Linked DNA regions of Nothobranchius furzeri. The protein of the gene in region 3 interacts with the protein of the main gene of each other region in a pairwise test. Links are inferred from orthologs where the notes say so. Each region holds a gene or a part of one and is shown on either strand. Other genes may lie near its edges.

Region 1 (3,025 bases), on a different chromosome or scaffold from region 3:
AGTTTTATCAAATTTCATACCCAGGTAAGGCACATATGTTTATCCTATGTACTCTAATGCTTGAGAGCCAAGAGACATAAAGGAAGTCCAACAGTTTGATAAATGCAACTAGATTATAAATTCACATTTTACGTTTTTCATTCAATGTGAAATATTTTGCAAAACAGGACAGAATGGTTATTATAGCGCTAAGCTCACATTTTCTTTACTAAACCCCCAAAACAGCTTTCTGCTGGTGGCATAATAGTAAAAATAATAATAATAATAATCTGGTTTGCTGCTAAACGAAATAGCCAATCATAGTTCGTAGAGCCTTTCTAGCCAATCAGAGGCGAAAAAGGTGGGATCTTCCTTGGACATCCTAGGATTCCAAATGACGCATCCAGTGGTATTGCGAGGATTCGTTTTTCTGTCAGAGTGAAGGCAACAACAACTGCTGCCACCTAGCAGATGGAGTTTGAATTGCACCACACAAAAGAATTAGTGAAAGTTTGCATGAAAATTGTCAATAAAAGAACTGAAACACTGCTTTCAAATATCGATTCAGTATCATAACAAAACATCGCGATTTCTCTGGGTATCGGTGTTTTCTTACATCTCTACAGTGGACTATAGTAAACACTCAAAACCCATGAGATAAAATATTGTTTAAAAACACATTTGTGGCTTACGTTTTACGTTGACATAAAAATGAAAACAAACAACCCTTTAAAATAATTACAGTGTGTTTACACCTTAATAAAAAATTAAACTTAGCTTGATTACATGTCTGTAAATAAAGGCTACCCAACCAAGACAAAACTATTATTACTTTGCAGGAATAAAGTCAGATTAGCTCTGTCCTTATTTGGACATAATAATTTAACACCAACACCTGACACACACACACCGCCACTTATTTGCCATTGTGACCCCACAAACGTAGTAAAACAAGTCCAAAACACACCAACTTTGCCTGTTCTGTAGCTACCAGTTAGCTTCGCGGCTACACTGTTACCTTTATTCTTCTGTGTCCGAGAAATCTCTCTTTCGATTTCGGCGATTTTCTCCAGAATGCCCATGTTGGTGGTGCAGGTGAGATGCAGCTACTCTGTCGGGGAGACAAAATCCAACAGAAACGTGTCACCTCACTGCTGCTAGCTTTGTTAGCCGCCCGGCTAGCCTGCAAACAAGTCAAACTTAACGGTTAACAAACCGCATCAATAGTCGTCCACGAAAAGGCTTACATAATGAAATTTACGTCAGAATAAACCCTGAACATTGTCAATTATTTTATTCGTTAAATAGATAAAGAAATTTACTTTGACAGAAGGTTCAATCAGCCGCGCACGCAGACTGCAAACCGGAACACGGTTCGTCGCTATAAAACGTTCGGGTGAAACAAGGAAACGCAAGAATAACCAAACGGACCCTCTAACGAATTACACTGTGGAGTTATGACTAAATACACGTGATTTAGTTAACAGTATAACCCAGTTATGCTTCCAGTCGTAGCTAGTTTCATTCCAGTTTACAGACATTTTTAATATTTACTAATACTCGAGGTCAATTAGATAAATATTAACTCAGCAGGAGAGAAACATGGCTGCGCCTGCTGGTGCCGCTGAATCGTCAGGCGCCAGCCCGCCGGGGTTCGAAGGTTTCCCCTTCCCGGTGAGCAGCAGACCACAGGAGGACAGCTCCGGTAAAGGGCATGAACAATCCGGGGATGCAAGGAAGAAGCCATGTAGAGCCTGTACGGATTTTAAATCGTGGGTGAAGCTACAGAAACGGCAGGATGCTGATGCTGCTCAGGTGACATGACGTTTTAAGTTAATTAAAAAGGGTTTTAATCTGTTTGAAGGGCTTTAACGTGTTTCTCTGTCCCATATGTTTATTTGTTACCAATTTAGTGTTAGTAAACTGTTATTTATAGTGTAAATCTCACCCGATCCTATTATTTTATGACCTTTGTCTCTTTTGTGTGTTGAAATCTGAACCCACAGGAAACTCGTCCTGCAGAAAATGTGAGACCAGATCCCCAGTGTCCACTGGAGAGGGATGAGTTGGGCAGATGCACCTGGTCCTTTCTGCACACCATGGCCGCGTATTACCCAGACCGTCCGTCTTCCAGCCAGCAGCAGGACATGGGGCAGTTCATCAACCTGTTCTCCAGGTTCTTCCCTTGTGAAGAATGTGCAGAAGATCTCAGAGACCGGTCCGTCCATTTTACCCAGGTTTCAGATCCAATAAGTTACTCTTCTGTACAAATGCTGGAGGCCAACTATGTCCATGTGCTTCCCGCAGATTAAAAACCAAACAGCCGGACACGAGCAGCCGCTACGCTCTGTCTCAGTGGTTCTGCCATCTTCACAACGACATCAACGTCCGGCTGGGAAAACCCGAGTTTGATTGTTCACGTGTGGATGAGAGGTGGAGAGATGGATGGAAAGATGGAACCTGTGACTAAGTGTTTGTATTAAAAGTTATGTCACTAAGAGTTTATTTAATAAGTATGATCGCAAAATAAAAAGGAATTAAATGAATAATGTTTTGTCATTTTTTGGTTAAAATAGGGTCAGAGCTGGCCCAAGGCATACCTGAGTTAAGCAAATGTTTGGGATCCCCATGAGCATCAAGATAGTGGGAAAAATGTTTTAATAGCTTTAAGTTATATAAACACAATTATATCCCATGTGGAAAATGTATTATTTTCTATAATGTAATTTGGTTTTAGCTTTAAGTGATTTCGCATTTCATACATCTGCTCCAAATTTTAATGCCAAAATACTTGAATTGTTGAAGCTCACACTACTAAAAGTAAAGCAGAATTTTTTTTCTAGAAGTGTATTTTTTTATCGTCACAAAACCAAAACAGTGATTCCATCACTACCAAACAACTAGTGATACCACCTTAACTGGCATTTAACCACTTAATCAGTGTGCCATGTTGTTTCCTCACATCCTTAACTAGTTTTATTCTTTCTATGTGTTTTATATATAATTCAAACAAATATATTATTATGTAGTCGTACAATTATTGATA
Region 2 (4,039 bases), on a different chromosome or scaffold from region 3:
GTGTGTTACTAAAGCATGACTGGACAGCTCTAGTCAAGCAAGACTAGAAAAGGACTCGAGGAACAGTGAGCAGGCAGCAACAAGCAGACTGTACACCAACAAACCACAAGAATGTGTAGCTAAACCTCGCCAAAGTAAAACAGCTATCGAAATTCAATGGATGAAAAGATTAAAGCTGAACAAACAAGTCAACTCACAGCTATGCTAACTTTTCCAAGTATTTCTTCAGGAATTCTTCTGGCTTCCTTGAGAACCTGGTCCAAAGACCCACCATCCTGTACAGACAAAAGTTTACTTTATAAAGATTAAACTTTATTAACAAGTCACATCAACAGAACCCAGCTCCTGTGTGCGCCACCTGTTGTTAAACACATCATGACTGCATGTGCCCGTGTCAGATCTGAAAACACGGGTCAGATTTGGTTTGGTCCAAAATCCCTTTCAGCAAACCAAACCTGAACAACAGAAGTCACACACTAAAGAACAGTTAAGCACAGTAGCTGTGGGCTATTTAACAAATGATTAATAAAAGTAAACAAAAACACGGCCCAAATTACAGACCTTTAACTTTTACACTTAATGATTAGCCCCAGACGATGATTAGACACGACACCATTTTATAATTTACAGCGATTGAGCCAAAAGCTGAGCAGCTTCTTACCTCTTTGACCACTTTTATGAATAATGCAAAACATTTCTGTTTGTTATCCGTTAGTTTAGCATGAAGTGTTAACTTGATGTGAATGTTTACTGCTAAATATGTTGTGAAAACTCAGTAGTGAGTGTTGCATCATCTCAAAATCAGCACTGATAAGATACTGAAGAAAAGGAAAACATGTTTGTTGATTTGATTTAAAATGCAGAAGGAAATTTAAACAGAATACGCTTAAAGAAGATGAAAAGTGATGCAATCTTTGCTACACTTAGCAGATTAACAGGATTTGTTGCACTGGTATAGTATGAAGCAATGAAAAAAACTCTTGACGCTAAGGAAATCTAAAAATCACCATTAAGTTAATGAAGCCATTAATGTTTCATACTTAATGTCTGAAGAAAGCTTTAGAGACAGTCAGTCTCTCTCACCATGTGCTCCATGCAGATGCTGATCTCTCCATCACTGTAAAAGGCTCCATAGAAGCCCACGATGTAGGGAGAGTTGCATTCATGCAGCACCTGCAGCTCTCGGATTATCTGGTTTCTGATGGCAGGCTTGATCTCCAGGTGGATTAACTGAGAAGGAAATGGTGAAACCATCAATTTCCGTACAAACGCATCGATCAGGGACAAAATGACAAGTGGGACAATCTGCATGCACACTTCAAAGCAACCAATGAGAGACATGCATTTAAGTTACATCATTCAATCTCTGAACGCTTTGAGGAAACATCAGTGGACACGTCTGCACACGCATATGGACAAGTTTGAGTTGCTGCAGAATTTCTGAGAGGGTCTGCAAACATATACTGGATTGTTCCAGCAGGTTTGGAAGTTTTTTTTAGTTTAGGAAGGCCGTTTAGGTTTTGTGTTAGGCAAAATGTCAAGACTTGCAATAAACTAGAAACAGGGTTAAAAAAAATACAAAAACAAAAAACCCACCTGTTATGACAAATCTGTGTGTTTGAACTGCCAGTAAATGCCCTCACACATGACCTTTGTATTTTTCCCAACACTCCTCTTACAGAAGTGTCACTGAGGATTTATATGAAATAAGTGGTTCCCATGTAAATGTTCACATTTAATGTCAGAGTTAAACGGAGTTTAATTTTGGTGAAGGACTAGAATTCTCTGGTCACAACCATGTGTAGAGCTGCAAACGAGGGTTGCGATGTTTCAAAACTGCACTGTAAAACCAAGAAAGGCTGCACTCCGATGTTACTCGGGTAAAGAAACGCAGCACCAAAAGGAGCGAAACAACGACCACATCAAAGCTAAGAGGCAAATGTCACAAAAGCATACAAGCAAAACGCTGGCATGCCTAATCTCGCTGGCTTCATCTCCTTCCGATCGTCCCACTTCAGCTGCAGAGAAACACCCAAAGGCAGATGATCACCTTTCGAGCCATGACCAAACCCGAGGGTTTGTGGCGAACCTTGTTGACCACTCCTCCGTTTCCAGCACCCAACTCACAAATCGGGTCAAAATCTTCATCCTTCAGCTCCCCGACCTGGGCTTTCTGGGTGAGGAAAGCTTCTAGACGTTTTCTTTGCTGCTCATCGAGGTCCAGTTCACCCAGCTTCTTCTGCAGAGCCTCCAGGTTGGCTCTGATAAGAAAAGACAAGCATTAAAGATGAATAAAAAAAAATAGGGAATTTTATTTTTATCCTGATGTGCAGGTCTTATCCGACATCTGGAGCTGTCCTACAGCAGCTTTAGGCAACCAAGCAGAAATCAGTTCACTGATTGTGTGTTACTTTAAAAACTTTTACACAGAACGTGTATATTAACACACCAACAAAACACAATGACAGTTTACCGTCGGTACTTACTCTGATGCAGCATCAATGGTGTTAGAGGTGGCCTGTCCCTCCCCAATGGGCGTAATGTTGAGAGGCACGGGTCTTCTTTTAGGAGCCATTTCTAAATCCCCTAAACTAAGAACTCCCTCTCTGTAAAACACTAGATTTGAGTAAACTGGGCTAATCCGACCTCGCCCGTGCTCGAGAGTCCGTTCGAAAAAGCAACAGGAACCGCTCTAAGTGGCTAGTTACCGTAAGCAGAGATTATACACTTTTTGGAGCATGTCACTTAGCTTGTTTGCTAAAACCCAGCATGCCGATGTGCCCTTCAAACGTCGGATAGCTTTGTCGGTTCATCTATAGGATTGTGTAGTGACAGGTGTTCTGTATTCAGCTCCTTGTCGGGTTTTCTACCTGCTGCTACTAGCCATTAGCCACATAGCCACTGCTAGCTCCAGTGAAAATATGCGCCTCTCAGCCGTAAATATGCAGCGGTCCTCGTCTCGAAGTGCGTAGAAGGCAAACAGCTCGGATAGACCGAGCCGGCGGACTTGTCTAAATTGTCCCCTTGTGTTTTAAGAGGTGTGCAGAGGGTCTGAAACGCTCCAGAGCCGCGGTGCTGTCCGCTGGTGCCTTCTTACAGGAAGCAGCAGCCTGTGAGAAACCCCACAGGGGAGAGCCCTGCTGCTTCTGCTTAAATACCGCGAGACAGAAACAGAGTGACGAGTTCACGCGAGAACAAGTGAAGATGTAAATTGGGGCACATTTGTAGATTGTTAGAAGATTTTAGTGTAGTTTTAAATTAAATTACGTGAAACAATGACTGTTTAAATAAAACTCTCCATCAGTCGTTTCCGAACCACGCGGAAAGGTGCATTATTGCCCCCTACTGGACACAAGGGGAAGTCAAATTGTACTTTTCATTTTATGGCTCGATCAAGACGACCAGGCACAATTCCTGCGCAAATGAAGCGAACAAAAATATAGTAGGTCATGTAGGCATTTTTTCCTTCTGATGATTCTAGTTTTCCAGTTCAACCATTTTTCTAAACTGGCATCCTATACATTTAAATTACAGAGAAAAGACACGTTGCTGTGACAGAAAATCCCGTTAAATTGGCTAGGGTAATTTCTTTGAGTCACTTGTTGTGCACTGAACTGCATTTGGTTGAATCAAATCTCAATATCACACTGCAATGTGACCGAGAAGTGACTTAAAAACTGACTGAGGAATTGGATAGTTGTCAATAGTGCATAATTTTATATATCTGTCTGGATAGATCAACATAATATGCCACTACACTACTACTCACCAAGTATAAAATTTGAAATGTTCAGGAATTACAAATGCTGACAAAATACATTTATTTTGACTGTTAATCTGATTGAGATCACCTGTAAAGGGCAGAGATATAATTGGCTGAATCTGCCCTCGTTAAATCGTGTCACTCAAGAACAAAAATTCCAAAATTAAAGACCAGAGGCATATTTAAGAACCGGTTTTAATTCAACACATCAATAACAGCTGTTAGATTACGTTCATTTCAAATTTTACAGTTTCATCCTCAACAGGCATCAAAATG
Region 3 (2,897 bases):
AAACATGGACACTTCATTTGGTGCAGCGGCTCTTGGCTGCCAGCGGCATCACATAATTAAGTGTGTGTGTTCTGTGCTGTGACAGCTCCGGTGGTCAGGTTTGAGTGGTCCCCGGAGGCTTTCGTGACCTCTGACCCTGTTTTCCTGCTCTACTGTATCTCTCTCTCCACAGATCGACCCAACCCGGACTATTTCCGCAGGGAAAGTCAACCTCGGTGCCTTTAGAACATACCCAAAGGTAGAGGAAAAGAGTCGGGCAAATTATGTGTTTAACGTTTTTGGGACACAAAACACGGGTGTGCTGTTACAATAAGTTTCAATTAATGCTAATCGTTTTAAATTTAAATCTGTTCACTTTGGTTTTTAATTTAAAAAGTCTTTTCTCTTCACTTTCAGGGTTACAAGCCTCCAGACGAGGGACCGTCAGAGTACCAGACAATTCCTCTGAACAAGATTGAAGATTTTGGCGTCCACTGTAAACAGTGAGGAGCTGTAGAATAAAATCATTGCATTAAGGTCACTTTAACTTTGTGAAACTCCTTATTATTTATTTCTTTTGTAGGTATTACGCCTTGGAGGTAACCTACTTTAAGTCATCCCTTGACAGAAAACTCCTGGAGCTCCTCTGGAACAAATACTGGGTTAATACCTTAAGTTCCTCCAGCCTCCTGACGGTATGTAAACAAGCTCAAAAATCAAAATGTGCACTAATTGTTTGGCATTTTGATTTATGGTTAATTATTACACTATAACTCATTCAGACATGCGCTCAGCAGCTTGAGATGTTGTGATTTATTGCTGCAGAATAGCTAAGCCTCCTTGTTTATTAGTGTTAGTAATAAGCTTAATGTGGACTTTTGTAACGAAGATGAGTAGGAAAGTTAGGCGCTCTCCCGAGACTGATGTGAATTTGCATGGTGGCTCTGTCCTGAACGGGAATAAATATGTCAGGCTTGAACAAACGGTGAGTTTTGGGGGATTCTGGGTGAGGATGAATTGACTAGATGTCAGGAACGAGCTGCTCCACGGGCGACAGGCTTTGTCAGGAGCTATAGTCACCCTGCAAGGTCCCCGTGTCACTATTAAACGCAGCCTCACCTTAAGTCAACATTTCAGTCATTCACCACCAAAGTGTCCCAGCAGCCTGTCGGACAGATTTGTTAGCCTCCTGCAAAAAAAAAAAAAATCCTATGTAGAAAAATCTTTTGCTGGCAAATTGTGCATGAATTGGTTTCTGTGTGTGTGTGTGTGTGTGTGTGTGTGTGTGTGTGTGTGTGTGTGTGTGTGTGCGCATGTGTGCGTGCGTGCGCGCGCGTGTGTGTGTGATGATCAGAACTCGGACTACACCACAGGCCAGGTGTTTGACCTGTCGGAGAAGCTGGAGCAGTCCGAGGCCCAGCTTGGCAGAGGCAGCTTCATGCTCGGCTTAGACACACACGACAGGAAGTCCGAGGACAAACTGGCCAAAGCGACACGAGACAGGTAGCTGGATAGGGCTAGACAGTTCAAATCAAATGTTAACTAGTTTATTTTGTCATCACATGGATCATTTACATGGGCTCTTCAAGGTTCGTGGTTCATAGGATCACATTGATTGATTTTATTATTTTAACTGTGACTTCTGGCATTAGTCCACTGAAGTCTTTTTCACAGAATGACATAAAATCTGTTATTTACTTTTGTAAACTTTCAGATTTTAATTAAAGCCCTTTTTAGGCTTATTAATATTATCTATTATTTATGAACCATTTAAGTCACAATTCTGATTAAATCAACAGTTCAATTTTTTCTAATTCTAGACAAAAATCAGTTTTTGAAGCAAATGGTTTTTTATTTATATTGGGCCATACTCAGATTAAAAATATGCATTTGACACTTAATTAAATTAAGCACATAATTCAGATTTTTCATTAGAACTGTATTATTGTCTAATGTACCTTTCTTTATTTTTGTGTCAAAAATTTGTTTCTTTGCTTTTTTCCACAGAATTAATTATCAACAAAATATCAGGAGAAAAATTCAGACTTTAAAATTCAAAACAAACTTTACTGAAGCTCTGTTTTGTCTTTATAATGTTTTCTAACACCAGCAGAGATGTTTTATCTCTGTGTCGCACTAATTTTTTGTTTTTCTGTTTCTTTTTAGCTGCAAGACGACCATAGAGGCGATTCACGGTCTGATGTCTCAAGTCATAAAGGATAAGCTCTTTAATCAGATCAACACTTCCTCCAATTAAAGCTCCACCCGGAGCCAATGTGTTAGTTTTACATGGGATGTCTTTACTGTGCATGCATCCACTGTTTAACTCTGCACCATTTCTCTTTGAAGTGATTTTTGTTTGTCCGAGAAGTGGCCAAGATCGCGACAATGCAAGCAAAAAATAAAATATTAAGTGCAGATTGTGTCAGTGATTCATAATTTTTATTTGTTCATATGTTTTTTTTTGTTGTTGCAGGCTCAGCTCACTATCCAAAATGAATTAGATGGATTTTATTATTGTTTCTTTATAAGATTTTGCCTTTGAACAGTTATTTTTCCTCACATTTCTCTGCAGCTGAACATTTAAATAACACACTGTGGTCACATTTATGTCCTAGCCCTGCTGCAGGCGATCATTGCTTGTCATAGCATTACATAGTGGAACAACAAACTCAACCTCCTGCACAGGCTCAGCGGGAATCTGCTGCCATGAGTGGGTTGTCGCTGGCGTCACTTTCCCGTGCAGCTCGGCGGGCGGCGTGCTGGCAGAGTGGTTGGGGAGGCAGGTTGCTGCGAGGCTGTGATGCAGCACAGAGACAGAAGCCTCAGACACAGAAGTCCATTCACCCAACGTGTCTGCTCTCCATCGAAGCAGACACTCACCGAGTCTGCCTTTTATTCTAACTGACAGCTGCTCT

Evidence for each region. The genes of interacting proteins can lie anywhere in the genome.
Region 1: the proteins of cops5 (region 3) and gfer interact in a two-hybrid assay, tested with the Homo sapiens proteins (2 studies listed by BioGRID). The link is inferred for Nothobranchius furzeri from reciprocal best matches to the Homo sapiens genes COPS5 and GFER.
Region 2: the proteins of cops5 (region 3) and map2k2a interact in a two-hybrid assay, tested with the Homo sapiens proteins (2 studies listed by BioGRID and IntAct). The link is inferred for Nothobranchius furzeri from reciprocal best matches to the Homo sapiens genes COPS5 and MAP2K2.

What each region holds. Positions count from the first base shown.
Region 1 is NC_091752.1:63,794,437-63,797,461, reverse strand, and holds gfer (FAD-linked sulfhydryl oxidase ALR), read left to right. Parts: upstream 1-1,438; 5' UTR 1,439-1,581; coding exon 1,582-1,794; intron 1,795-1,985; coding exon 1,986-2,197; intron 2,198-2,286; coding exon 2,287-2,449; 3' UTR 2,450-2,525; downstream 2,526-3,025. Other genes in the region: drg2 (developmentally-regulated GTP-binding protein 2), read right to left, coding at 998-1,061.
Region 2 is NC_091748.1:51,292,709-51,296,747, forward strand, and holds the start of map2k2a (dual specificity mitogen-activated protein kinase kinase 2a), read right to left. Parts: upstream 2,801-4,039; 5' UTR 2,576-2,800; coding exon 2,487-2,575; intron 2,262-2,486; coding exon 2,051-2,261; intron 1,231-2,050; coding exon 1,084-1,230; intron 276-1,083; coding exon 198-275; intron 1-197. UniProt on the Homo sapiens protein: Catalyzes the concomitant phosphorylation of a threonine and a tyrosine residue in a Thr-Glu-Tyr sequence located in MAP kinases. Activates the ERK1 and ERK2 MAP kinases.
Region 3 is NC_091747.1:51,739,081-51,741,977, reverse strand, and holds the end of cops5 (COP9 signalosome complex subunit 5), read left to right. Parts: intron 1-172; coding exon 173-238; intron 239-396; coding exon 397-482; intron 483-562; coding exon 563-674; intron 675-1,333; coding exon 1,334-1,482; intron 1,483-2,145; coding exon 2,146-2,236; 3' UTR 2,237-2,397; downstream 2,398-2,897. UniProt on the Homo sapiens protein: Probable protease subunit of the COP9 signalosome complex (CSN), a complex involved in various cellular and developmental processes.